4 linked regions of the Saccharomyces cerevisiae S288C genome follow. Each later gene encodes a partner of the first gene's protein in a complex. Each region holds a gene or a part of one and is shown in the gene's direction. Other genes may lie near its edges. The genes, in order: RSC2, RSC30, RTT102 and RSC6.

Region 1 (9,408 bases):
ATAAGCTCAACTGGCAGTAAAGGTGAAGGCGAGACCGAGGATGAAGTCATAGATCAATACGAACCTGTGAATGAATCAAAATTTATACCGCACAAACTAAAAATTCCAGAGAAGGCTGGATCAATAAAGTCGTCGACAAGTGATGATTCGCATTCGCCAGGTGCGCCAGGTACGTCGGCAAGGAAGATTAAAATTCCTCAGAGTCCATCGTTAATTGGTAACATATTGATTCCTTCACACAATAGTGACAGTAGTAACGAAAGTTCTCCTAAAGACCATATAGGGCATAATAATGAAGAAAAATTCAGTTCAAAATCTACGCGCAAGCCCTCCACATCCCTAGAAGAAGAAGGTCCACCAATTGGACTACCTTCAATTCCCGTATTAAGAAGTGTGTCCGGACCAAGCAAATGGACGAAGACACCTTTACGCTTAGAATCTGGAAATTCAACTAAGTCTGATCCATTTTCACGCTATGAAGGACACAAGACGCCCTCTCCATTGACCAAGATGAACAAGAAGAAAAATAAAACGTTGCCAGAACATGGACAACCCCTCGTGCTAGCTCCAATTAAATCTCAAAGCTCGGAGTCAGACACGGGACAGAACTCCATTATAGAAAAGCCAGCTCGAAGCATACGACGAAAGCAACAAGAAAAAACTGATAATAGGAAAGAAGACAGGCACGATGCTGAAAATATAGACCTGGAGGCGAGAATGCCAATTCAACATATCGATACCGCTTCCATTCATTCGTTTGATTCAGGTCAAAATGGATTCAGGGACGTTTACAGCATCGAAAACATCATTGTGATCCTCCTATGTTGTAGTATAGTGCCGCCATTATTTTTTATTATTGGCTGCAGCTCAAGAAGGAAATTAGTTTCAGACTATAGATTAATGAGGTTGCTTATGAATAAAGAACACCGAGCGGCTTTGCTGCAAGGATTCATATGGGACGTTGATTTAAGGTGGTTCCGGATGTTTTGTCTGATCTTAGGGGCTGCCGAAACAGTGATTGTGATGGCCGGTATTGCTATTGGATTTGGTGTGGGTATAACACGTGAATAAGAAACTGTATCATTCATCAAATAGGATAAAAAATAAAAAACTGTTCTGTCTCGTTAAAGTCATATATATAAATAGGGGATTTTCATTAATTTATATATATAGATATACTTGTGTACATGTACCCGTAAGTATCAAAAGAAACGTGCATAAGGACATGGCCTAAATTAATATTTCCGAGATACTTCCTTAAGCGGTAACTTTCTTTTCAATCAAGTCGAATAGAGTAACAATATCGGCAGAGAATTTTCTGATACCTTCGGACAATTTTTCAGTGGCCATAGCGTCTTCATTCAAGTCGAATCTGAATTTAGATTCGTCGCTGATGTAAGAAATCTTGTCGCCGGCTTCCTTCTTAGCGGAGACAGGGTCCAAAACTCTTGGGAAAGGTTCAGTACTGTTCATCAACTTGTCCAATAAAGCTGGAGAAATTGTTAGATAGTCAACACCAGCCAAGTTTTTGATTTCGTCAGTGCTTCTGAAAGAAGCACCCATAACAATAGTCTTGTAACCGTACTTCTTGTAGTAGTTGTAGATTTTCTTGACGGAAATAACACCTGGGTCGGCTTCACCCTTGTAATCTTTACCAGTGCTGGATTTGTACCAGTCTAGAATTCTACCAACAAATGGGGAAATCAAAGTAACTTGGGCCTCGGCACAGGCAACTGCTTGAACGAAGGAGAATAATAGAGTCAAATTACAGTGGATACCGTCCTTTTCTTCCAATTCTTTGGCAGCTTGAATACCTTCCCAAGTGGAAGCAATTTTAATAAGGACTCTTTCCTTGGAGACACCTTCTTGTTCAAACAATTTAATGATATGTCTAGCCTTTTCAATGGTAGCTTGAGTGTCAAAAGACAATCTAGCATCAACTTCGGTGGAGACTCTGCCTGGAACAATCTTTAAGATCTCCTTACCGAATTCGACTAACAATCTGTCCACAGCATTTTCGACTTGTTCTTCGGTGGTCTTACCATGCTTCTTACCGTATTCCACGGCAACATCGATCAACTTGGCGTAAGTTGGTTGCTTGGCAGCAGCCAAGATCAATGATGGGTTAGTTGTGGAGTCTTGAGGTTGAAACTTGGCAATAGAGCCGAAATCACCAGTGTCGGCAACAACGACAGTGCCGGAGGCTTTCAATTGTTCTAGAGAGTTGTTAGCAACCTTTTGTTTCTTTTGAGCTGGTTCAGACATTATGTACACGTATATGTGACGAGTTCGAGAAGTATTTTACTATCGTACTAAATTTTACCTGAAAAATTATATACTCGAGAAAGAGGAAGCCAAGAATTGAGAAAAAAGAAAAACCCGCGAGTAAGGAAATTAAATACAGGTGTACACATACACGCACACATATATATATATATATATATGTATATGTGTATATAGGAAGCGCGCGCATGTTAGTATATACGATTCGTTGGAAAGGGGCCGTCCACCAAACGTGACTTGACGAGTTGACAAATTGACCTCAATATGGCTCAGTCAGTAATTTTTAGTTCCGCTTTATTCCCGCCATCTTTCAGGCCACGAGGGTAGCTCATAACGCCGCGCTAATGCCGCTGCGTCACAGCAACCAGTAGCTCAGCCAAAACCGAAAGAGAAATCGTAGCTGTCCCGATGAGGACTTATACACTTGTCACCATCTAAATAAATTATTTATTCGCGTTTCGGTTCTTGTTTTCGATTTAATTAGATTGTTCATTGAATCATAATAAATATGTAAAAAATATATATATTTGAAGCTGCTTCAGAAAAACAGGGCTTCCTAGTGTACAGATGTATGTCGGATGAAAAAAAAAAAATCTTAAATGTGAAATTGGGTCAATTCAATTGACTATGACTTGATGTTGCAAAAATTCCAAGAGAAAAAGTTTCCAGCACTTGATATTATTTTCCTCTTTATTGGTTTTCTGGTCTCAACTTTCTGACTTCCTTACCAACCTTCCAGATTTCCATGTTTCTGATGGTGTCTAATTCCTTTTCTAGCTTTTCTCTGTAGTCAGGTTGAGAGTTGAATTCCAAAGATCTCTTGGTTTCGGTACCGTTCTTGGTAGATTCGTACAAGTCTTGGAAAACAGGCTTCAAAGCATTCTTGAAGATTGGGTACCAGTCCAAAGCACCTCTTCTGGCGGTGGTGGAACAAGCATCGTACATGTAATCCATACCGTACTTACCGATCAATGGGTATAGAGATTGGGTAGCTTCTTCGACGGTTTCGTTGAAAGCTTCAGATGGGGAGTGACCGTTTTCTCTCAAGACGTCGTATTGAGCCAAGAACATACCGTGGATACCACCCATTAAACAACCTCTTTCACCGTACAAGTCAGAGTTGACTTCTCTTTCGAAAGTGGTTTGGTAAACGTAACCGGAACCAATGGCAACGGCCAAAGCTTGGGCCTTTTCGTGAGCCTTACCGGTGACATCGTTCCAGACGGCGTAAGAAGAGTTAATACCACGACCTTCCTTGAACAAAGATCTGACAGTTCTACCGGAACCCTTTGGAGCAACCAAGATAACATCTAAGTCCTTTGGTGGTTCAACGTGAGTCAAGTCCTTGAAGACTGGGGAGAAACCGTGGGAGAAGTACAAAGTCTTACCCTTGGTCAACAATGGCTTGATAGCAGGCCAGGTTTCTGATTGAGCGGCATCGGACAACAAGTTCATAACGTAACTACCTCTCTTGATAGCATCTTCAACAGTGAACAAGTTCTTGCCTGGAACCCAACCGTCTTCGATGGCAGCCTTCCAAGAAGCACCATCTTTACGGACACCAATGATAACGTTCAAACCGTTGTCTCTCAAGTTCAAACCTTGACCGTAACCTTGGGAACCGTAACCGATCAAAGCAAAAGTGTCGTTCTTGAAGTAGTCCAACAACTTTTCTCTTGGCCAGTCAGCTCTTTCGTAGACGGTTTCAACAGTACCACCGAAGTTGATTTGCTTCAAACCACGGGTAGTGATCATTGGCTTAACGAAACGGGCAGCTGGTCTGCTGTAAGCAGCAGCACGGGTGGCCAAAGCAAAGGTTCTCTTAGCAGTGATGACACGGGAGTTGCAGATCAATCTGGCGGCTTGAGTTCTCAACATGTTTTATTTTTTACTTATATTGCTGGTAGGGTAAAAAAATATAACTCCTAGGAATAGGTTGTCTATATGTTTTTGTCTTGCTTCTATAATTGTAACAAACAAGGAAAGGGAAAATACTGGGTGTAAAAGCCATTGAGTCAAGTTAGGTCATCCCTTTTATACAAAATTTTTCAATTTTTTTTCCAAGATTCTTGTACGATTAATTATTTTTTTTTTGCGTCCTACAGCGTGATGAAAATTTCGCCTGCTGCAAGATGAGCGGGAACGGGCGAAATGTGCACGCGCACAACTTACGAAACGCGGATGAGTCACTGACAGCCACCGCAGAGGTTCTGACTCCTACTGAGCTCTATTGGAGGTGGCAGAACCGGTACCGGAGGAGACCGCTATAACCGGTTTGAATTTATTGTCACAGTGTCACATCAGCGGCAACTCAGAAGTTTGACAGCAAGCAAGTTCATCATTCGAACTAGCCTTATTGTTTTAGTTCAGTGACAGCGAACTGCCGTACTCGATGCTTTATTTCTCACGGTAGAGCGGAAGAACAGATAGGGGCAGCGTGAGAAGAGTTAGAAAGTAAATTTTTATCACGTCTGAAGTATTCTTATTCATAGGAAATTTTGCAAGGTTTTTTAGCTCAATAACGGGCTAAGTTATATAAGGTGTTCACGCGATTTTCTTGTTATGTATACCTCTTCTCTGAGGAATGGTACTACTGTCCTGATGTAGGCTCCTTAAATTGGTGGGCAAGAATAACTTATCGATATTTTGTATATTGGTCTTGGAGTTCACCACGTAATGCCTGTTTAAGACCATCAGTTAACTCTAGTATTATTTGGTCTTGGCTACTGGCCGTTTGCTATTATTCAAGTCTTTTGTGCCTTCCCGTCGGGTAAGGGAGTTATTTAGGGATACAGAATCTAACGAAAACTAAATCTCAATGATTAACTCCATTTAATCCTTTTTTGAAAGGCAAAAGAGGTCCCTTGTTCACTTACAACGTTCTTAGCCAAATTCGCTTATCACTTACTACTTCACGATATACAGAAGTAAAAACATATAAAAAGATGTCTGTTTGTTTAGCCATCACAAAAGGTATCGCAGTTTCTTCTATAGGCCTCTACTCTGGTCTTTTGGCTTCCGCTTCATTGATTACATCTACTACTCCACTAGAGGTTTTAACAGGATCCCTTACTCCCACTTTAACCACTTTGAAAAATGCGGCCACCGCCTTGGGAGCGTTTGCGTCAACTTTCTTTTGTGTGAGCTTTTTCGGCGCTCCTCCCTCATTGAGACACCCCTACTTACTCTATGGTATGCTTGTAGCTCCATTATCTTCATTTGTTCTAGGATGTGCCTCCAACTATCAGTCTAGAAAGTACAGTAAAGTCTCTAAGGAATCTTCTTTATTTCCCGAAGACAGCAAACTCGCTGCTTCCGAACTGAGCGATTCTATTATTGATTTAGGTGAAGACAACCATGCTTCAGAAAATACACCTCGAGACGGGAAGCCTGCAGCAACCACAGTATCAAAGCCGGCAGAGGCATTGCACACCGGTCCCCCAATCCATACTAAAAATCTAATTGCAGCAACTGCTATTGCTATTGTTGGCTTTGTACAAGCCGTTATTGGCGTTTATGGGGAAGGACAATTTATCTAGTGTTTCTCGTTCACGTATTTATCTCTACAAGAATTTGTAGCTGCCTGAACTCGGCTCCTCTCTCTCTCCAAAAATAAAGTGTGTAGTAATTTGCAGTTTTTTTATATATTCCTACGAGTTTTCAAACGTTCAAAAGACAGTATGTTCAAAAATTGTGCATACACACACGTATGCACATATATACATAATAATACACTGTAATAAGCACATTTGTAGGTGCTCTTGCACTTGGTTTATTACTGTCACTGACTTTTCTCACCCGGCCGAGAGTCGTGCGAAAATTCGCATGTTAAAGTGAGAAAATAGAGAAAACAACACAGCTGAAAAAAGTATTGGTAACAGTTCAATACGTGATCAAATATACAGCACGTCGCGCAGAACCAGACGAAGCGGAGAATATTCTACATTGACAGTGCATGATGCCTGATGACAATTCAAACTCGTCCACTCAAAACTCAAGCGCATTATACAAGGACCTGAGGAAAGAATATGAATCTCTTTTCACTTTAAAGGAAGATTCTGGGTTAGAGATTTCACCAATATTCAATGTCCTTCCACCTAAAAAGGATTATCCTGACTACTACGCAGTGATCAAGAACCCTGTATCTTTCAATACTTTAAAAAAGCGTATTCCACATTATACAGATGCTCAACAGTTTATGAACGATGTTGTCCAGATTCCATGGAATGCCAAGACTTACAATACAAGAGATTCAGGAATTTATAAATACGCCTTAGTCCTTGAGAAATATTTAAAGGACACAATCTATCCAAATTTAAAAGAAAAATATCCTCAATTAGTGTATCCTGATTTGGGTCCTCTACCCGATGAACCAGGTTATGAAGAGTTTCAACAGAAATTAAGAGAAAAAGCTGAGGAAGTAGCGAGAGCTAATGCAGCCAGAGCCGAGTCGAGCTCTTCAATGAATTCAACAGAAGCAGCCAGAAGATTAAGAAAGACTCGTACTTCCGTCAAAAGAGAATCAGAACCAGGAACCGATACAAATAATGATGAGGACTATGAGGCGACGGATATGGATATCGATAACCCTAAGGATGCTGATTTTCCTGATTTGATAAGAAAGCCACTAATAAATATTAATCCATATACTCGGAAACCATTAAGAGACAACAGGTCCACTACTCCATCTCACTCAGGCACCCCTCAGCCGTTAGGCCCAAGGCATAGACAGGTATCCAGAACTCAGGTAAAGCGTGGGAGACCCCCAATCATCGACTTACCGTATATTCAAAGAATGAAAAATGTTATGAAAGTACTAAAAAAAGAGGTGCTAGATAGTGGAATTGGTCTAACTGATCTTTTTGAAAGATTGCCCGATAGACACAGAGATGCAAATTACTACATCATGATTGCTAATCCAATTAGTCTTCAAGACATAAATAAAAAGGTAAAGACTCGTCGTTATAAAACGTTCCAGGAGTTCCAGAATGATTTTAATCTTATGTTAACCAACTTTAGAATTTCGCACAGAGGTGATCCTGAAAGCATAAAAATTTCAAATATCTTAGAAAAGACCTTTACTAGTCTGGCAAGATTCGAACTATCCAAACCTGATAGAAGTTTCATTCCAGAAGGCGAGCTAAGATACCCTCTAGATGAAGTCATTGTAAATAATATATCATACCACGTGGGAGATTGGGCACTTCTTCGAAATCAAAATGATCCTCAAAAACCTATAGTGGGCCAAATATTCAGGCTATGGAAGACACCAGATGGGAAACAATGGTTAAACGCTTGTTGGTATTACAGACCCGAACAAACTGTGCATAGAGTGGATAGATTGTTTTACAAAAACGAAGTTATGAAAACAGGTCAGTACCGTGATCATTTAGTGTCAAACTTAGTTGGGAAATGCTATGTGATTCACTTTACTAGATATCAACGTGGTAATCCCGATATGAAATTGGAGGGTCCCTTGTTCGTTTGCGAATTCCGTTATAATGAATCCGATAAAATTTTTAACAAGATTAGAACCTGGAAGGCTTGCTTACCAGAGGAAATTCGTGATTTGGACGAAGCTACCATTCCGGTAAATGGTAGAAAGTTCTTCAAATATCCTTCCCCCATAAGACATCTACTACCAGCTAATGCAACGCCGCATGATCGCGTTCCTGAACCAACGATGGGATCCCCGGACGCGCCACCATTGGTCGGTGCCGTTTATATGAGACCTAAAATGCAGCGTGACGATTTGGGGGAATATGCAACCTCTGATGACTGTCCCAGGTATATTATCAGACCCAACGATTCTCCCGAAGAGGGACAAGTGGATATAGAAACAGGTACGATCACCACAAACACGCCAACAGCAAATGCTCTTCCTAAAACAGGATACTCAAGTAGTAAACTATCCAGTTTAAGATATAACAGGTCATCTATGTCTTTAGAAAACCAAAATGCTATTGGCCAGCAACAAATACCACTGTCAAGAGTTGGTTCCCCTGGCGCGGGAGGCCCGCTTACTGTACAAGGTTTAAAGCAACACCAATTGCAAAGGTTACAACAGCAGCAACATCAATACCAACAACAGAAAAGATCCCAAGCATCACGTTATAATATCCCAACAATAATCGATGATTTAACATCGCAGGCATCAAGAGGTAATTTGGGTAATATAATGATCGATGCAGCCTCCTCGTTTGTCTTACCTATCTCTATAACCAAAAACGTAGATGTTTTGCAGCGTACTGATCTGCACAGCCAAACCAAGAGATCTGGAAGAGAAGAGATGTTTCCATGGAAAAAAACAAAGGGTGAAATATTATGGTTCAGAGGACCTAGTGTGATAGTAAATGAACGAATAATAAATTCAGGTGACCCACACCTAAGCCTGCCACTGAATAGGTGGTTTACCACTAACAAGAAAAGAAAACTAGAATACGAAGAAGTTGAAGAAACCATGGAAGATGTGACTGGAAAGGACAAAGATGATGATGGCTTAGAACCGGATGTTGAAAATGAGAAAGAGTCCTTGCCAGGCCCATTTGTCCTTGGATTAAGACCCTCGGCTAAGTTCACGGCGCACAGACTCTCTATGCTGCGGCCTCCTTCGTCGTCTTCATGATCACCTTTATTGTAAAAGCAATGGCAGCATAATATCTTCCCATTGCGCATTACCCTCCGCGAGCAGAGTCAAACTTCAAACAAAGCAGGAAAATGAAATAAAACAGAAGTTATTATATAGAAGAAAGTCATCTATAGATATATTATCGTTGTATTAATAGTAGCCATATAAAACAATTATACTTCATCACCAACCTCTCAAAATTTCTTCCCCAAGGACCAAAGCTTTTCCAGTAAGTTGCTACAACTAAAGTGAAATAAACTATCCGAATTATATAAAAGATGCCTGACTATGACAATTACACTACGCCATTGTCTTCTAGATATGCCTCCAAGGAAATGTCAGCAACGTTTTCTTTGAGAAACAGATTTTCCACATGGAGAAAACTATGGTTAAATTTGGCTATTGCTGAGAAGGAATTGGGCTTAACTGTTGTTACAGATGAAGCAATTGAGCAAATGCGCAAACACGTCGAAATCACTGATGATGAAATCGCAAAA
Region 2 (9,083 bases), on another chromosome or scaffold:
TGTGCAAAGTAGGCTGATGTCCACGAGCTACCATCTAAATAGCACATTGGAGAGCTTGTATGACTTGATTGAGTTTCAACCTTCCCAAGGAGTACACTATAAAGTACCTACGGACACTAGCACGACTGCAACGGCTGCCACCAACGGGAACAACGCTGGAGGGGGCAGTAACAAGAGCAGTGTACGACCTACCGGCGGTGCCAATATGGCGACTGTTCCCTCAACCACAAATGTCAACATGACAGTCAACACTATGGGTACAGGAGGACAAACTATAGACAACGGTACCGGTCGTACTGGCAACGGTAACATGGGTATAACTACAGAGATGTTGGACAAATTAATGGTCACAAGCATTCGATCCACCCCAAACTACATATGAGAACTGCCATGGCAATTGCATATATCTTTGTACTATATTATAAAACCCCGCGAAATCAACTTTTCAGTTTTCTTCAAAAATCGATGTACCCATCATAAGAAGTTCCCCCAAAAGGAAAGAAATGAGAGGAAAAAGACACGAAGGGAAAACAAAATGAAATTCAGTGGCTTGTGGTGTTGGTTGTTATTATTCCTTAGCGTTAATGTTATTGCATCTGATGTGGGTGAGTTGATTGATCAGGACGACGAAGTAATTACACAAAAGGTGTTTTTCGATATTGAACATGGTGAAGAGAAAGTTGGCAGAATCGTTATTGGGTTGTACGGAAAGGTATGTCCTAAGACGGCGAAGAACTTCTACAAGTTAAGCACCACCACTAATTCCAAAAAGGGGTTCATCGGGTCCACTTTCCATAGGGTGATTCCCAACTTCATGGTACAGGGAGGGGACTTCACAGACGGCACTGGCGTTGGTGGCAAATCCATCTATGGAGATACTTTCCCTGACGAAAACTTTACTTTGAAGCATGATCGCAAGGGCAGACTATCGATGGCTAATCGTGGTAAAGATACCAATGGATCTCAGTTCTTCATCACCACTACGGAAGAAGCGTCGTGGCTCGATGGAAAGCATGTGGTATTTGGACAGGTTGTGGACGGCATGGATGTGGTGAACTACATACAGCACGTGTCCAGAGATGCGAATGACAAACCTCTCGAGGCGGTCAAGATCGCAAAATGCGGTGAGTGGACGCCTGAGCTCTCTTCTTGAGTATATGCAATATTTCATACTATATACATAGATATCAATTTCAGTATGTATAGTTAAAGGTAAATTAACTAGAGAACGTGGGAACAGTTCCGCACTGTGACCACCGGAACGTACGTCTGGTTAGCGCAGCATTAGTCCCAGTTACATCCGATTCAAAATGCAACAGCAAGTATTAATTGGGGAAATCATATCATTTTGAATATAACCTTGGCGTCCTACTAAGGATGGTTATACATCCTAGCTCGTGTAGTGTGATATTTTGCAGGAATGATGCAAAGAGAGGAAGAACAAGAAGAGAGTTGTTGTTTTTAATGTATCTTAGCAATTTATGAGAGGAGCATTGTCGTTGTCTGCTGTGACTAGTGCGTAGCTTTGCCGTTTGTTTTTAATCATGATGGACATGCAAGTGAGAAAAGTGAGGAAGCCGCCTGCTTGCACCCAATGCAGGAAGAGAAAGATCGGGTGCGACAGGGCAAAACCGATATGTGGGAATTGCGTCAAGTATAACAAGCCGGACTGTTTTTATCCAGATGGACCTGGTAAGATGGTCGCTGTGCCCTCTGCGTCCGGGATGTCCACGCACGGCAATGGCCAAGGTTCCAACCATTTTAGTCAGGGAAACGGTGTAAATCAGAAAAACGTAATGATTCAAACGCAGTATCCGATTATGCAAACGTCGATAGAGGCATTCAACTTCTCGTTCAACCCCTCTGTGGATACTGCGATGCAGTGGACCAAGGCCGCTAGCTACCAGAATAATAACACCAATAATAATACTGCTCCTCGTCAGAATAGTAGTACCGTTAGTAGTAATGTTCATGGAAACACTATTGTGAGAAGCGATAGTCCAGATGTGCCCTCCATGGATCAGATTAGAGAATATAACACACGATTACAACTGGTTAACGCTCAAAGTTTTGACTATACAGATAACCCATACTCTTTTAATGTTGGTATCAATCAAGACTCGGCCGTTTTCGATCTAATGACTTCTCCGTTTACTCAAGAGGAAGTATTAATCAAGGAGATAGACTTTTTAAAAAACAAATTGCTTGATTTACAAAGCTTGCAACTGAAAAGTTTGAAAGAAAAATCGAATTTAAATGCCGACAATACCACGGCAAACAAAATTAACAAAACAGGTGAGAATTCTAAGAAAGGCAAGGTTGACGGTAAAAGAGCCGGATTTGATCATCAGACTTCAAGGACTTCTCAGTCCTCACAAAAATACTTTACAGCGCTCACAATAACAGATGTGCAAAGTTTAGTCCAAGTGAAACCGTTGAAGGATACCCCCAACTACCTTTTCACTAAAAACTTCATCATTTTTAGAGATCATTATCTTTTCAAGTTCTATAATATTTTGCACGATATCTGCCATATTAATCAGTTCAAAGTAAGTCCTCCTAACAATAAAAATCACCAACAATATATGGAAGTTTGCAAAGTTAACTTCCCACCAAAAGCAATAATTATTGAGACACTAAACTCTGAATCCCTTAACAATCTGAATATTGAAGAATTTTTGCCAATCTTTGACAAAACCCTCTTACTAGAATTTGTTCATAACTCTTTTCCAAATGGTGATACCTGTCCTTCATTCTCAACGGTCGATCTTCCTTTATCTCAACTGACCAAACTAGGCGAATTAACTGTGCTTCTACTGTTGTTAAACGATTCAATGACCCTATTCAATAAGCAGGCTATTAATAACCATGTTTCGGCATTAATGAATAATTTGAGGTTGATTCGAAGCCAAATCACATTGATAAACCTGGAATATTATGACCAAGAGACAATCAAATTTATTGCCATCACAAAATTTTATGAATCTCTGTACATGCATGATGATCATAAATCAAGTTTAGACGAAGATTTGAGCTGTCTGTTAAGCTTCCAGATAAAAGATTTCAAGTTATTCCATTTTTTGAAAAAAATGTATTACTCAAGACATTCGCTTCTAGGTCAGTCTTCATTCATGGTACCCGCTGCTGAAAACCTATCTCCGATACCTGCCTCTATTGATACGAACGACATTCCTTTAATTGCTAACGATTTAAAATTACTGGAAACGCAAGCAAAATTGATAAATATTCTGCAAGGTGTTCCTTTCTACTTGCCAGTAAATTTAACCAAAATTGAAAGTCTGTTAGAAACCTTGACTATGGGCGTGAGTAATACAGTAGACTTATATTTTCATGACAACGAAGTCAGAAAAGAATGGAAAGACACTTTAAATTTTATCAATACCATTGTTTATACAAATTTTTTCCTTTTTGTTCAAAACGAATCCTCTTTGTCCATGGCAGTTCAACATTCTTCTAACAACAATAAGACCTCGAACTCTGAAAGATGTGCAAAGGATCTGATGAAAATTATTTCTAATATGCACATTTTTTACTCAATAACATTTAATTTTATCTTCCCCATAAAGTCGATAAAGTCATTTTCAAGCGGCAATAATCGCTTTCATTCTAATGGTAAAGAATTTTTATTCGCAAATCATTTTATTGAAATCTTACAGAATTTTATAGCAATCACATTTGCTATTTTCCAACGTTGTGAAGTAATATTATATGACGAATTTTACAAAAATCTTTCAAATGAGGAGATTAATGTTCAATTGCTATTGATTCATGACAAGATTTTGGAAATTTTAAAAAAAATAGAAATTATCGTATCCTTTTTACGAGATGAAATGAATAGCAACGGAAGTTTCAAATCTATTAAAGGTTTCAACAAGGTTTTGAATCTGATTAAATATATGCTGAGATTTAGCAAGAAAAAACAAAATTTTGCGAGAAACTCTGATAACAATAATGTTACAGATTATAGTCAGTCGGCGAAGAACAAAAATGTTCTCTTGAAATTCCCCGTTAGTGAACTGAACAGAATCTATTTAAAATTTAAGGAGATTTCAGATTTTTTAATGGAAAGAGAAGTTGTCCAAAGGAGTATAATTATTGACAAGGATTTGGAATCTGATAATCTGGGTATTACTACGGCAAACTTCAACGATTTCTATGATGCATTTTATAATTAGTAAGCCGATCCCATTACCGACATTTGGGCGCTATACGTGCATATGTTCATGTATGTATCTGTATTTAAAACACTTTTGTATTATTTTTCCTCATATATGTGTATAGGTTTATACGGATGATTTAATTATTACTTCACCACCCTTTATTTCAGGCTGATATCTTAGCCTTGTTACTAGTTAGAAAAAGACATTTTTGCTGTCAGTCACTGTCAAGAGATTCTTTTGCTGGCATTTCTTCTAGAAGCAAAAAGAGCGATGCGTCTTTTCCGCTGAACCGTTCCAGCAAAAAAGACTACCAACGCAATATGGATTGTCAGAATCATATAAAAGAGAAGCAAATAACTCCTTGTCTTGTATCAATTGCATTATAATATCTTCTTGTTAGTGCAATATCATATAGAAGTCATCGAAATAGATATTAAGAAAAACAAACTGTACAATCAATCAATCAATCATCACATAAAATGTTCAGCGAATTAATTAACTTCCAAAATGAAGGTCATGAGTGCCAATGCCAATGTGGTAGCTGCAAAAATAATGAACAATGCCAAAAATCATGTAGCTGCCCAACGGGGTGTAACAGCGACGACAAATGCCCCTGCGGTAACAAGTCTGAAGAAACCAAGAAGTCATGCTGCTCTGGGAAATGAAACGAATAGTCTTTAATATATTCATCTAACTATTTGCTGTTTTTAATTTTTAAAAGGAGAAGGAAGTTTAATCGACGATTCTACTCAGTTTGAGTACACTTATGTATTTTGTTTAGATACTTTGTTAATTTATAGGTATACGTTAATAATTAAGAAAAGGAAATAAAGTATCTCCATATGTCGCCCCAAGAATAAAATATTATTACCAAATTCTAGTTTGCCTAACTTACAACTCTGTATAGAATCCCCAGATTTCGAATAAAAAAAAAAAAAAAAGCTATTCATGGTACCCGCTGCTGAAAACCTATCTCCGATACCTGCCTCTATTGATACGAACGACATTCCTTTAATTGCTAACGATTTAAAATTACTGGAAACGCAAGCAAAATTGATAAATATTCTGCAAGGTGTTCCTTTCTACTTGCCAGTAAATTTAACCAAAATTGAAAGTCTGTTAGAAACCTTGACTATGGGCGTGAGTAATACAGTAGACTTATATTTTCATGACAACGAAGTCAGAAAAGAATGGAAAGACACTTTAAATTTTATCAATACCATTGTTTATACAAATTTTTTCCTTTTTGTTCAAAACGAATCCTCTTTGTCCATGGCAGTTCAACATTCTTCTAACAACAATAAGACCTCGAACTCTGAAAGATGTGCAAAGGATCTGATGAAAATTATTTCTAATATGCACATTTTTTACTCAATAACATTTAATTTTATCTTCCCCATAAAGTCGATAAAGTCATTTTCAAGCGGCAATAATCGCTTTCATTCTAATGGTAAAGAATTTTTATTCGCAAATCATTTTATTGAAATCTTACAGAATTTTATAGCAATCACATTTGCTATTTTCCAACGTTGTGAAGTAATATTATATGACGAATTTTACAAAAATCTTTCAAATGAGGAGATTAATGTTCAATTGCTATTGATTCATGACAAGATTTTGGAAATTTTAAAAAAAATAGAAATTATCGTATCCTTTTTACGAGATGAAATGAATAGCAACGGAAGTTTCAAATCTATTAAAGGTTTCAACAAGGTTTTGAATCTGATTAAATATATGCTGAGATTTAGCAAGAAAAAACAAAATTTTGCGAGAAACTCTGATAACAATAATGTTACAGATTATAGTCAGTCGGCGAAGAACAAAAATGTTCTCTTGAAATTCCCCGTTAGTGAACTGAACAGAATCTATTTAAAATTTAAGGAGATTTCAGATTTTTTAATGGAAAGAGAAGTTGTCCAAAGGAGTATAATTATTGACAAGGATTTGGAATCTGATAATCTGGGTATTACTACGGCAAACTTCAACGATTTCTATGATGCATTTTATAATTAGTAAGCCGATCCCATTACCGACATTTGGGCGCTATACGTGCATATGTTCATGTATGTATCTGTATTTAAAACACTTTTGTATTATTTTTCCTCATATATGTGTATAGGTTTATACGGATGATTTAATTATTACTTCACCACCCTTTATTTCAGGCTGATATCTTAGCCTTGTTACTAGTTAGAAAAAGACATTTTTGCTGTCAGTCACTGTCAAGAGATTCTTTTGCTGGCATTTCTTCTAGAAGCAAAAAGAGCGATGCGTCTTTTCCGCTGAACCGTTCCAGCAAAAAAGACTACCAACGCAATATGGATTGTCAGAATCATATAAAAGAGAAGCAAATAACTCCTTGTCTTGTATCAATTGCATTATAATATCTTCTTGTTAGTGCAATATCATATAGAAGTCATCGAAATAGATATTAAGAAAAACAAACTGTACAATCAATCAATCAATCATCACATAAAATGTTCAGCGAATTAATTAACTTCCAAAATGAAGGTCATGAGTGCCAATGCCAATGTGGTAGCTGCAAAAATAATGAACAATGCCAAAAATCATGTAGCTGCCCAACGGGGTGTAACAGCGACGACAAATGCCCCTGCGGTAACAAGTCTGAAGAAACCAAGAAGTCATGCTGCTCTGGGAAATGAAACGAATAGTCTTTAATATATTCATCTAACTATTTGCTGTTTTTAATTTTTAAAAGGAGAAGGAAGTTTAATCGACGATTCTACTCAGTTTGAGTACACTTATGTATTTTGTTTAGATACTTTGTTAATTTATAGGTATACGTTAATAATTAAGAAAAGGAAATAAAGTATCTCCATATGTCGCCCCAAGAATAAAATATTATTACCAAATTCTAGTTTGCCTAACTTACAACTCTGTATAGAATCCCCAGATTTCGAATAAAAAAAAAGCATATGTATTAATCCTAAAATGTATTATGAGAACGTCTTTTAAAGGTAAAATGCTGTTATCCCCGTCACTTTCAATGATCTATTTATTTGAAGCGGATAGTACAACAGATCAGTCTAAAACGTATAAGCTCTTAGACCGAGAAACCAATATTCAAATAATGACTTTATTTTTAATATACACTTCAAACATATATAGATATATACATATGCACCGCACTCTATGAAATTCAAATTTTTTTCTTCACAAGAAAAAAATGAGAGAAAAGATAGATAAGGAGGAAACAAATTAACTTTTAGCCTTCTTGACAGCTTCTGACTCGCTAGATTCTTTTTCAAGCTCGCTAGAAGATCTCTTTTTTGCATTGTTAATTTGTTTAGAGAAAATTGAACCCAATTCGGAAGGATTGGCGATTTCCATCAAACCCTTGTTGAAGGTAGACAAATGAACTTGTACACCATCAATGGTGACCATGTCATCTTCGTGGGTTTCTTCGATTTTGTCCTTTTTAGCTTCAAGTTCATCAAGAACGTCCTGGTTATAGTATAATGGCAATACGGGCGACCTATTGGTCTTGATAAAAATGGATCTGATTTGGTATGCTTTGATTAACTGTTCAGAAATTAATTCAACGTTATCTACAAACTCTTCTGGCCTTAACCATTCTAAATTACCCAAATGGACATTCAACGTGGTACCTCTTGGAAGTTTAACGGGCAACTGATTCATGTAAACCTTTTTGATATTGTTCGTCAAAGTGGTCAAGGAAAATTCCTTATTTGCATGTGTTCTAATTGATATAGGAGTAGTTTCTACTTTGTTGTAGGCTTTGCCTCCCATAAGTTTTGGCAAAGATGTAACTATACTGTCGTCAGCCAAAATCAAAGAAAACTGAGATATAAAAGCGTTTCTAGCCTCATATGCCTTGTAAACGGTCTTTAAGTCTTTCCCGCAAATGATTTCATCAACCTTGATTCCTTCTGAATCTAATTGATCAAATAAATCATCTTCTGAAACTTTCTTAATATCAGAATCCTTCAAAATTAATAAAACTTTGAAATCCTTAACCGCTGTTGCACTGGCTTCTTTCCAAGGCTTGTAAAACGAATGTTTGACATTTAGTAATTTCAATTTGAATGATTTGGAAGTACCGGTGAATGATTTATTATTTACTACGATTAATTGCAGATCTTTCTTCAATTCTTCTTCATCATCTTCCAATAGGTTTTTCTTACCGTTATTTCCTTCTTCATTATTTTCATCTTGTGGCTTGGAAGTGAATTTTATAAGCTCGTTGACAGCTTTAATAACTCTTTCCCTAGGAATGGCTGTGGAAGATTTCTTTTCAATAACCTTCTTCTTTTCTTTGCTTGGTGTACTTACAGGCGTAGATTTCTTTGAGTTACTCTTTTTAGCCATTTTATACTTTATAGTCTGGAACGTAGGTTTATCTGCCTGCTGTCTAATATTTCTTATAAAACAGACACTATTCTTTATGCAGTATACAAACGCTTTTTGTTACTTTTCAAAATTTGCGATGAGCTCCAGTGGAAAAATTTTTTTCAGGAAATTGTCTTTAATTTTTTTAGTATGAAGTGACATCAACTTCACATTTATTGACGCAACGGTGAAGCACAGAATAGAATAGTAATTCTTTAATGGTATATTCTAGGTTTTTGTTTTTTATATAGTTATTTATTGTTTTATTATTTTTCCCATTCTTCTTTCCTGAAATAGAACACAAAAAAGCTACTAACAAAGGATATTAAAGGTAATCTGTGACCAGCCCTCATTACCAAAAATAAAGTTTGTTCAAGTAATAGAGTAGAGAAAACAAAGTGGAAATCATAATGGTTAAATTTAAATATTTTTCTTTTACTTTTCTTATTTCACCTCTTGTGATCTTATCGTTGATTTTGATATATTAGTTTCTGAGTGGATGAATATCCATAAAGGGTAAAACAAATAATA
Region 3 (2,908 bases), on another chromosome or scaffold:
ACAGGCAATTTGGGCCTTAGAGTATCTTGTTCATTGGCTTTCCGATAATAATTAATTAATTTATTGGCCATACCAAATTTAGACAAAGCTACCGGTGTTTGTTCAGAATATTCCATTAAATAAACAGGAGCAGTATCCCCGATGGTTAGATCTTGAGATGTAGAAAATGATTCTTTGACATCTTTACCTTTATCTCTTTTCCTTTTACGCGCTTTTAACTTACTGAAGACAATTTTAGTACCTGGTCTGATGTGCGAACCAAAGTTTTCACGGTGGAAATGCCTCAACTGGTATCTAGGAACAGCCACTTTGTAAAATGGAGATTGTAAATTAATCGCAGGTTGAGAATGCTGAATATTTAAGTTCGAGATGGTAGAACGAACTTTTGTTTGATGGGTTTTTTTCAAGATTTGATATTTATCATCATTAGATAAATTGAATTTTTGTTGCAAAATAGTTTCGTTGAGGGGCAATATCAAGTTACTACTATCCAGTTGTTGCTTTTGCTGCGCTAAATTATTTGTTTTCTCAATCATCAGCAACAGTTTTTCGTCATTCATATTTAATTCAGCATGTTTAGACTCTTTCAATTTTGCATCAATGATCATGTCTTCATCCCACTGCCAATCTTCAGCAACATCCTCAATCAAGCTCTTCAATTTATAACCGCCGGAGAACTTTAAGTTGGGTGTCATAGACGAATCCGCCAAGGTTGCTGTTGATGAAGTACCTTGGTTGATGATTTTTTCTTGGTCCCAATCATCAGTGGCAATAAGCAAGTCTTCCGATATGGTCTTTTCATCATGAATAATCTTTCTTTTTTTTTGTTGCTCTTTGATAGGGAAAAGTTCATCAATGGAAACATGAATTAAACCTCTTCGGGATGCAGAAGAGTTACTTTGAAGTAAATTGTTTTTCCCTTGATAAATCGGAGCGACGTAAGATATTGTCCTTGAGTTGAATAGCCTCTTATCATCCTGTTGAACCTTGAATTTCAAATTTAAAGGCATAAACGGTTTCTTTACCCTAGATATTTCACTGTGCCAATGATAAGGAACAGATCTTCTATAAATCAGCTTGTTCCATTTTAAAATTTTACCCTTTTCAAAATCAGGAAAGTATTTTTTTAGAAGATACTTCTCATGGTTTATCAAGTCTAATTTGGTGGCTTTCTTATGCTTGCCATCTGACATATCTGGTTCCATGATAAATCCACCATTTATCGACATATCATTTCCATTAACGCCACCAATGGAAAGTTGAGAATGCCCAATTTCATTTGCGCCACTACCATCAAGAACTCCAGTTTCAGTGGCGAGATGAATTTCATTTGCATCCATTCCCATAAACAAAGCATTGCTAGTTGCGGGAGTACCCCCATCATCCTCCAAAATAAACTGTTGAGACAAATCACCATTAATTTCAGGCAGTTGCATATTCAAACTATTTGAGTCGATACCGAGTACGGCACCGTTCTCGTTTACATCATCATACGCGCCCATAGTCATCATAGCTGGATGCAAATTAGCATCAGATTCTTCTGGCAAATCGTCATCGTCATCAGCAAGTTCATCTTCATCTTCAAAATCTACAGCATCCGGCAAATGCTCCGTATAGTCCTTTGAATTGGCACCTTCATCCCCGCCAATGTATGACCCGATTTCTAAAGAGCCAAACTCTCCGCCAAAAATAGCTTCATATGCTTCATCTTCGTTGGCCAAGTTGGTCTTGCCGGATCCCTGCTGCTTTACCATATCGCCTTATACTCCTGTTGTACTTCTTTTTCTCTCTGTGTTTAAAATGCTATTTATTCTCTTAAAAGCACATTTGAAAACCATCGCCGCGAAATGAAATTATCGACTAGTTTATTAATGAACAAGGCGATAAAACCTAATGTTGGAAAGAAAGAGCTACGTCAGCAAGAGATAGAGAAAATGGACCCACAGACGCTCATTACTAAGGCCAATAAGGTTTCTTACTATGGCAACCCTACGAGTAAGGAATCATGGAGGTATGATTGGTACCAACCATCTAAGGTGAGCTCCAATGTGCAGCAACCACAACAACAGCTAGGGGACATGGAGAATAACTTGGAGAAATATCCATTCAGGTATAAAACATGGTTGAGGAACCAGGAAGATGAGAAAAATCTACAGAGGGAGAGCTGTGAGGATATATTAGATTTGAAAGAATTTGATAGAAGAATACTGAAAAAGTCGTTGATGACATCGCACACTAAGGGTGATACAAGTAAGGCCACCGGTGCTCCTTCTGCTAATCAAGGAGATGAAGCTCTTAGTGTGGATGATATAAGAGGCGCTGTCGGTAATAGTGAAGCCATTCCTGGGTTATCTGCGGGAGTGAACAATGATAATACAAAGGAGAGTAAAGATGTGAAAATGAATTAAAAGGAAAAGTATTATGCATATATATATATATATATATATATATATATTTATATATTTATACACATAGAATTATTTTACAGTAAAGGATGCTACACCACCCCGGGCTAACTTTATGGCTTCTACTATTTCAGGTTCCCTTTCGCGTCTTTTATCTAATCTTTCCTTTTTGTCTTGAATAAACTCTAACTCAGTTGAAAGATTGTTCCATGGTCTTGTGTCGCCTGTACCCGACATGATCAAAATCATAGTACCTGGTGTAGCATTCTCGTATAATTGTGTTAGATGTTGCCCTATATCATGAAGAACCATGGACGCATCGAACGAAGGAGTTTCCTTCCGTGGCTTTTTATTATAGTTGCGTGACCTCTCTAAGTTCTTGATTCTCCCCACAATAAGTTTGACATCTTTATTTAGATTCTCGTGAATATGGGTCCATGTCTCATCATCTTCGACGCAACGGATTAACTGGCCCTTAGAATCGTCCTCAGTATGATTTTTAA
Region 4 (7,889 bases), on another chromosome or scaffold:
GTGAGATGGTGTAGAGTGAAAAAAAAAAAAAAATCTGGCTTGGCCATCAAATACCCGGCCGTGGTTGGACTCGTTTAGCGAACAATAGCACCCAGCAGACCCTGGCAACATGCGGATGATATAAGAAGGACGAGCGTGGTGGAGGAAAGGGGCGCCATTGGCACACTCACGCAGGTGGTTGTTCAGCACGGCTTGCAGCAAGAGCGCCAAAACAGATTGCAAGAATGACGGAGACTAAGGATTTGTTGCAAGACGAAGAGTTTCTTAAGATCCGCAGACTCAATTCCGCAGAAGCCAACAAACGGCATTCGGTCACGTACGATAACGTGATCCTGCCACAGGAGTCCATGGAGGTTTCGCCACGGTCGTCTACCACGTCGCTGGTGGAGCCAGTGGAGTCGACTGAAGGAGTGGAGTCGACTGAGGCGGAACGTGTGGCAGGGAAGCAGGAGCAGGAGGAGGAGTACCCTGTGGACGCCCACATGCAAAAGTACCTTTCACACCTGAAGAGCAAGTCTCGGTCGAGGTTCCACCGAAAGGATGCTAGCAAGTATGTGTCGTTTTTTGGGGACGTGAGTTTTGATCCTCGCCCCACGCTCCTGGACAGCGCCATCAACGTGCCCTTCCAGACGACTTTCAAAGGTCCGGTGCTGGAGAAACAGCTCAAAAATTTACAGTTGACAAAGACCAAGACCAAGGCCACGGTGAAGACTACGGTGAAGACTACGGAGAAAACGGACAAGGCAGATGCCCCCCCAGGAGAAAAACTGGAGTCGAACTTTTCAGGGATCTACGTGTTCGCATGGATGTTCTTGGGCTGGATAGCCATCAGGTGCTGCACAGATTACTATGCGTCGTACGGCAGTGCATGGAATAAGCTGGAAATCGTGCAGTACATGACAACGGACTTGTTCACGATCGCAATGTTGGACTTGGCAATGTTCCTGTGCACTTTCTTCGTGGTTTTCGTGCACTGGCTGGTGAAAAAGCGGATCATCAACTGGAAGTGGACTGGGTTCGTTGCAGTGAGCATCTTCGAGTTGGCTTTCATCCCCGTGACGTTCCCCATTTACGTCTACTACTTTGATTTCAACTGGGTCACGAGAATCTTCCTGTTCCTGCACTCCGTGGTGTTTGTTATGAAGAGCCACTCGTTTGCCTTTTACAACGGGTATCTTTGGGACATAAAGCAGGAACTCGAGTACTCTTCCAAACAGTTGCAAAAATACAAGGAATCTTTGTCCCCAGAGACCCGCGAGATTCTGCAAAAAAGTTGCGACTTTTGCCTTTTCGAATTGAACTACCAGACCAAGGATAACGACTTCCCCAACAACATCAGTTGCAGCAATTTCTTCATGTTCTGTTTGTTCCCCGTCCTCGTGTACCAGATCAACTACCCAAGAACGTCGCGCATCAGATGGAGGTATGTGTTGGAGAAGGTGTGCGCCATCATTGGCACCATCTTCCTCATGATGGTCACGGCACAGTTCTTCATGCACCCGGTGGCCATGCGCTGTATCCAGTTCCACAACACGCCCACCTTCGGCGGCTGGATCCCCGCCACGCAAGAGTGGTTCCACCTGCTCTTCGACATGATTCCGGGCTTCACTGTTCTGTACATGCTCACGTTTTACATGATATGGGACGCTTTATTGAATTGCGTGGCGGAGTTGACCAGGTTTGCGGACAGATATTTCTACGGCGACTGGTGGAATTGCGTTTCGTTTGAAGAGTTTAGCAGAATCTGGAACGTCCCCGTTCACAAATTTTTACTAAGACACGTGTACCACAGCTCCATGGGCGCATTGCATTTGAGCAAGAGCCAAGCTACATTATTTACTTTTTTCTTGAGTGCCGTGTTCCACGAAATGGCCATGTTCGCCATTTTCAGAAGGGTTAGAGGATATCTGTTCATGTTCCAACTGTCGCAGTTTGTGTGGACTGCTTTGAGCAACACCAAGTTTCTACGGGCAAGACCGCAGTTGTCCAACGTTGTCTTTTCGTTTGGTGTCTGTTCAGGGCCCAGTATCATTATGACGTTGTACCTGACCTTATGAACTGCCACCATACCACGTGTGTCCCTCGCAAGCCCTTGATAGATATACAATAGGGAATGGGCGTCCGCTCCACCGTGGTCAAAGACAGGGGCAAAGAGCTCCTAGGTCTATATATATATCTATATACATATTTATATATATTATTAGAACTTTACAATATAGTATATACCATTCATTGTTTAAGTTTCGGGTAATACTTTTTTTTTCCTTGTCATAACCCCAAAAATTTTCGATGCCTTTGATATAATTGAGAACAAGAAGAGTTTGCAGGTGACAAAAATCGATGATTATAGGTGTTGTGACGACAAAATGAACGCTAATATATGGGTGGCTGCTTCAGATGGTAATTTGGACCGAGTGGAACATATCCTCCGCGAGAGTAAAGGCGCCATGACCCCGCAATCCAAGGACATTAACGGCTACACTCCAATGCATGCTGCCGCCGCATACGGCCACCTGGATTTGCTGAAGAAAATGTGCAATGAGTACAATGGAGACATTAATGTGTTGGACAACGACGGCGATACCCCGTTGCACCATGTGGAGGATGTGGCCACTGCCAGGTTGATCGTGGAAGAGCTGGGTGGAGACTTCACTATCAGGAATGTGGAGGGCCAAACGCCATACGACTCGTTCGTCGAGAACGGTGAAGATGGTGAGCTAATCGAGTACATGAGGATTAAGTCCGGCGTGGCCGATGTTCACGGAGTGGACGGCGTGCAGGGTGAGGGTGTCATCGACAGCAAATTGCTGGAAGAGTTCAAGGACAACGTGAGATACACCTTGGAAAATGACCCTGAGGAAGGAGCCGATGAGGCCACTCTGCAACGCAGGAGGCAGTTGGAACAGATCATTACGGGAGACAACGCTGAGGAGGAGTTGGAAAGGTACATCCGTGCTATGGTCAGAGAGCAGATGCTGGGCCAGGGCTCCATGGCGGGTTCCGGGGACGAACCAGATTCCAAGAGAAGAAAATAACGACCCAGCACAAAGGCTCTTACAGCTTGCTAAAAGAAATTGAACGCGACGCTACATGAACTACTTCTTTCTCTTACATAGTCTTTTCCCTTATGTATCTTTTCTGTACATTAATAGACGTTCTTACAAGGTAAAATTTCACCGCGTTTTTAAATAGAATGAAAAAAACGTTGTAGAGTGAAAGAAAAGCAACAAATATACAGTTCACAAGGCAGCTTCGTATAGTAATACAGCACGAAAAACAGCTCATAGAAATGGTAACACAGACCAATCCGGTCCCTGTTACATATCCAACGGATGCTTATATCCCCACGTATCTGCCCGATGATAAGGTCTCCAATCTGGCAGATTTGAAAAAATTGATAGAAATGGATTCCAGACTAGATTTGTATCTGACAAGAAGGAGGCTGGATACGTCCATCAATTTACCTACAAACACCAAGACCAAGGACCATCCCCCCAATAAAGAGATGCTGAGGATTTACGTCTACAACACTACGGAAAGCAGCCCTCGCAGCGATTCTGGCACCCCAGCGGACTCAGGCAAGACTACATGGACACTGAGAATAGAAGGTAAGCTTCTGCACGAGTCCGCAAACGGAAAGCACCCATTTAGTGAGTTTTTGGAAGGTGTCGCGGTCGACTTTAAAAGACTGAAACCGCTGGGCATGGGCAAGAAGAGGAAACGCGATTCGTCATTGAGCCTTCCTTTGAATCTGCAACAACCCGAATACAATGATCAAGATAGCACCATGGGCGATAACGACAACGGCGAGGATGAGGACAGTGCAGAGGCAGAATCCAGGGAGGAAATTGTAGACGCACTGGAATGGAACTACGATGAAAACAACGTTGTGGAGTTTGATGGTATCGACATCAAGAGGCAAGGCAAGGATAATTTGCGATGCAGTATAACCATCCAGTTGAGGGGTGTCGACGGTGGAAAAGTACAGTACTCGCCCAACTTAGCTACCTTGATAGGTATGCAAACGGGCTCCGTTAATGACGCGGTTTATTCGATCTACAAGTACATTTTGATCAACAATCTGTTTGTTACGGAACAAACAGAGGCTCAAGATGGTTCCAACGATGCCGAAGACAGCAGTAACGAGAATAACAATAAAAACGGTGCTGGTGACGATGATGGCGTCGAGGGAAGTACTCCAAAGGATAAGCCCGAATTGGGTGAAGTGAAGCTAGATTCACTCTTACAAAAGGTATTGGATACAAACGCCGCGCACCTCCCCTTGATGAATGTTGTGCAAACCGTGAACAAACTGGTATCACCCCTACCGCCCATCATCCTAGATTATACAATTGATCTTTCCAAAGATACCACCTATGGTGCTACCACCTTGGATGTAGATGTGTCGCACATTCTCCACCAGCCTCAACCCCAGCCAAATTTACAAAAAGAGGAAGAAACAGATGCTGAAGACACAGCAAAACTACGTGAAATCACAAAGCTTGCCTTGCAGTTGAACTCTAGTGCTCAAAAATACCAGTTTTTCCACGAACTGTCTTTGCATCCAAGAGAAACGCTGACTCACTACTTATGGTCTTCCAAGCAAAACGAGCTTGTGCTGCAGGGCGACCAATACTTCAATGAAGATGCTGCAAGAACGAGTGACATATACAGTAACAACAACAATGACAGGTCACTAATGGGCAATATCTCACTACTGTACTCCCAAGGAAGACTATAACATCACTGTATGATCTCATTCTTTCTGCAATTATTGCACGCCTCCTCGTGAGTAGTGACCGTGCGAACAAAAGAGTCATTACAACGAGGAAATAGAAGAAAATGAAAAATTTTCGACAAAATGTATAGTCATTTCTATCAATAACGTATACACGTTTTTTTAATACTATCTATATTGTGTATCTTATATTTTTCCATTTGGTAGTATAGCAGCAAATATTTGTTCTTAGACGGCCACCATCCCTCACACCAATGCCTAACGCTTCCCAAGTTTACAGATCTACCAGATCCAGCTCTCCAAAGACAATCTCTTTTGAAGAGGCTATCATTCAAGGTCTGGCCACTGACGGTGGTCTTTTCATTCCACCAACTATTCCACAAGTGGACCAAGCCACTCTTTTCAATGATTGGTCAAAGCTCTCCTTCCAAGACTTAGCCTTTGCTATCATGAGACTATACATTGCCCAAGAAGAGATTCCAGATGCTGATCTAAAGGACTTGATCAAGAGATCTTATTCTACTTTCCGTTCTGATGAAGTCACCCCCTTGGTGCAAAACGTCACTGGTGACAAGGAGAATTTGCACATTTTAGAATTATTCCACGGTCCTACCTACGCTTTCAAAGACGTTGCTTTACAATTTGTCGGTAATCTTTTTGAATACTTCTTACAAAGAACCAACGCCAATTTACCTGAAGGCGAGAAAAAGCAAATCACTGTGGTCGGTGCTACTTCCGGTGACACTGGTTCTGCAGCCATCTACGGTTTAAGAGGCAAAAAGGACGTTTCCGTTTTCATCTTATATCCAACCGGTAGAATTTCCCCAATTCAAGAAGAACAAATGACCACCGTTCCAGATGAAAACGTCCAGACTTTGTCTGTTACCGGTACTTTCGACAACTGTCAAGATATCGTCAAAGCTATTTTCGGTGACAAAGAATTCAACTCTAAACACAACGTCGGTGCTGTTAACTCCATCAACTGGGCAAGAATCTTGGCCCAAATGACCTATTACTTTTATTCATTCTTCCAAGCCACCAACGGTAAGGACTCCAAGAAGGTCAAGTTCGTTGTGCCAAGTGGGAACTTCGGTGATATATTGGCCGGTTATTTTGCCAAGAAAATGGGTTTGCCTATTGAAAAACTGGCCATCGCTACCAATGAAAACGACATTTTGGACAGATTTTTGAAATCTGGTCTATACGAAAGATCAGACAAGGTTGCTGCTACTTTATCCCCAGCAATGGATATCTTAATCTCTTCTAACTTTGAAAGACTACTATGGTACCTAGCTCGTGAATACCTAGCTAATGGTGATGATTTGAAAGCCGGTGAAATCGTCAACAATTGGTTCCAGGAATTGAAGACCAACGGTAAGTTCCAAGTTGACAAATCCATCATTGAAGGCGCATCAAAGGACTTTACATCAGAAAGAGTTTCCAATGAAGAAACATCTGAAACAATCAAGAAGATCTACGAATCATCTGTAAATCCAAAACATTACATCTTAGATCCTCACACAGCTGTCGGTGTTTGCGCCACAGAAAGATTGATTGCAAAAGATAATGACAAGTCCATCCAATACATTTCTCTATCTACCGCTCACCCAGCTAAATTTGCCGATGCTGTAAACAATGCATTGTCTGGATTTTCCAATTATTCATTTGAAAAGGATGTTTTGCCTGAGGAATTGAAGAAACTATCCACATTAAAGAAGAAATTAAAATTCATCGAAAGAGCTGACGTTGAATTGGTCAAAAACGCTATTGAAGAAGAACTTGCTAAAATGAAATTATAAGATCTTCCTTTTTAATGAATATATTTTATCTTATATAACATATAGAATTCTATAATTAATAGAGAGTATGAAGTACGATTATCCTTAATGTTAATCAAAGTGAATCATGATTGCGAGAGTAAGGAACCATAAAATTAATCTTCATCTATGCTAATAATCTCAGAATTCTCGTTCCCAGGGTCTTCTTCTTTAGATACTAATCTAACTTTCCCGCCCTTTTCAACTGATATTTCAAACCCAGCTTTGCTCAATGCATCGTCTTGAACAACGTCTTGAGCTTCCATTTTTTTGACATATTCCTGATTCTTGGCATTATTCTTTAACAAAAACTTCAAGCAAACAATAGATCTTTCCTTGATAAACGGATCATTATCATCGATGACACAATTGGAAAGAATTAATGCAAGACCACCTAATTCTCTTATTTGATCTTGGATTTCAGGATGTGCATACACTAACGATGCCAATATTTCGATTATTACTAATTTACAATGGGGAAAATTATCAGCCCTAATAAAGGATTCGTTGGTATTAACACGGTTGAAAATTAATAACCGGTCCTCGATTTTGTTACCTTCATGATCTGTGATTTTAATTTCATTCACCGTATCACCGTTTCCTTTCAAAAAATTAATCCTCAACAAATTCTTTTGGAAAGTATCCAAGAGAGATACCAATATTTTCACAGAGTCATACGAAATTAAGAATTTTCTAACATGATTGAATTTGCACAAGTCAGAAATTATGTCCAGGCAAGAAAGTAAAGTGGAGTGTAATTGGATGGCAACTGAAGGAGCATAATCGTTACAACTTTTATTGAAAAAGGCAGGAATATCCTTGCATGCAAGACGTTGCAGAATGGGGTAGCACCATGACATAATTGCAGTCAACTCATAGGTATTCCAATCTTCTTTACTCGTTACAACCAATTGCAATATCTGCAACAAAGTGGTGAATTTTCCTGGCTGTCTTTCTTCTAACCCATTGAGGTATTTACCAAAAGAAGCAGTTGTAAGACTTTTGCTAATACATTCTAAGACAGATAGGTCAATAGAAGTTATTTCCAATTTTGAATCATCCAGATAGTTTCTGCCCTTCTCAATTAAAAAGGAATTCTCTTGATCCTGGATGAATTTGGCTGTCACTATATCGAAAAATATTCTATCCCTAACACAATAATAGTCTTTCTGGGGTGTATCATTATCCCTGAAAAATTCGTTGGAAAATTCATCATTGTTGAGATACGTCTTGAAAAGAAATAAATATGGTAGCCAGAAATGCTCTTCTTCTTCACCGTCTTCCAATTTGATCCCATAAGGGTATTGAAGAAATTGTAAAAGAGCTGGAAAAGT

The links.
Region 2: RSC2 (region 1) and RSC30 share a complex: the UniProt entries of both Saccharomyces cerevisiae proteins name them as parts of the two forms of the RSC complex.
Region 3: RSC2 (region 1) and RTT102 share a complex: the UniProt entries of both Saccharomyces cerevisiae proteins name them as parts of the two forms of the RSC complex.
Region 4: RSC2 (region 1) and RSC6 share a complex: the UniProt entries of both Saccharomyces cerevisiae proteins name them as parts of the two forms of the RSC complex.

Annotation. Positions count from the first base shown.
Region 1 is NC_001144.5:835,093-844,500, forward strand, and holds RSC2 (Rsc2p), read left to right. Parts: upstream 1-6,238; coding exon 6,239-8,908; downstream 8,909-9,408. Other genes in the region: BUD8 (Bud8p), read left to right, coding at 1-1,071; sedoheptulose-7-phosphate:D-glyceraldehyde-3-phosphate transaldolase TAL1, read right to left, coding at 1,258-2,265; ILV5 (ketol-acid reductoisomerase), read right to left, coding at 2,974-4,161; ATG33 (Atg33p), read left to right, coding at 5,229-5,822; YLR358C (uncharacterized protein), read right to left, coding at 8,395-8,958; adenylosuccinase ADE13, read left to right, coding at 9,190-9,408. UniProt on the Saccharomyces cerevisiae protein: Component of the chromatin structure remodeling complex (RSC), which is involved in transcription regulation and nucleosome positioning. RSC is responsible for the transfer of a histone octamer from a nucleosome core particle to naked DNA.
Region 2 is NC_001140.6:210,296-219,378, reverse strand, and holds RSC30 (Rsc30p), read left to right. Parts: upstream 1-1,544; coding exon 1,545-4,196; downstream 4,197-9,083. Other genes in the region: mediator complex subunit MED6, read left to right, coding at 1-382; peptidylprolyl isomerase CPR2, read left to right, coding at 536-1,153; metallothionein CUP1-2, read left to right, coding at 4,661-4,846; YHR054C-B (uncharacterized protein), read left to right, coding at 4,689-4,862; YHR054C (uncharacterized protein), read left to right, coding at 5,130-6,194; metallothionein CUP1-1, read left to right, coding at 6,659-6,844; YHR052C-B (uncharacterized protein), read left to right, coding at 6,687-6,860; CIC1 (Cic1p), read right to left, coding at 7,401-8,531. UniProt on the Saccharomyces cerevisiae protein: Component of the chromatin structure-remodeling complex (RSC), which is involved in transcription regulation and nucleosome positioning. RSC is responsible for the transfer of a histone octamer from a nucleosome core particle to naked DNA.
Region 3 is NC_001139.9:1,041,342-1,044,249, forward strand, and holds RTT102 (Rtt102p), read left to right. Parts: upstream 1-1,934; coding exon 1,935-2,408; downstream 2,409-2,908. Other genes in the region: TAF1 (histone acetyltransferase), read right to left, coding at 1-1,754; RNH70 (Rnh70p), read right to left, coding at 2,478-2,908. UniProt on the Saccharomyces cerevisiae protein: Probable component of the chromatin structure-remodeling complex (RSC) which is involved in transcription regulation and nucleosome positioning. RSC is responsible for the transfer of a histone octamer from a nucleosome core particle to naked DNA.
Region 4 is NC_001135.5:211,705-219,593, forward strand, and holds RSC6 (Rsc6p), read left to right. Parts: upstream 1-3,289; coding exon 3,290-4,741; downstream 4,742-7,889. Other genes in the region: ARE1 (sterol acyltransferase), read left to right, coding at 225-2,057; YCR050C (uncharacterized protein), read right to left, coding at 1,760-2,068; YCR051W (uncharacterized protein), read left to right, coding at 2,367-3,035; threonine synthase THR4, read left to right, coding at 4,993-6,537; CTR86 (Ctr86p), read right to left, coding at 6,672-7,889. UniProt on the Saccharomyces cerevisiae protein: Component of the chromatin structure-remodeling complex (RSC), which is involved in transcription regulation and nucleosome positioning. RSC is responsible for the transfer of a histone octamer from a nucleosome core particle to naked DNA.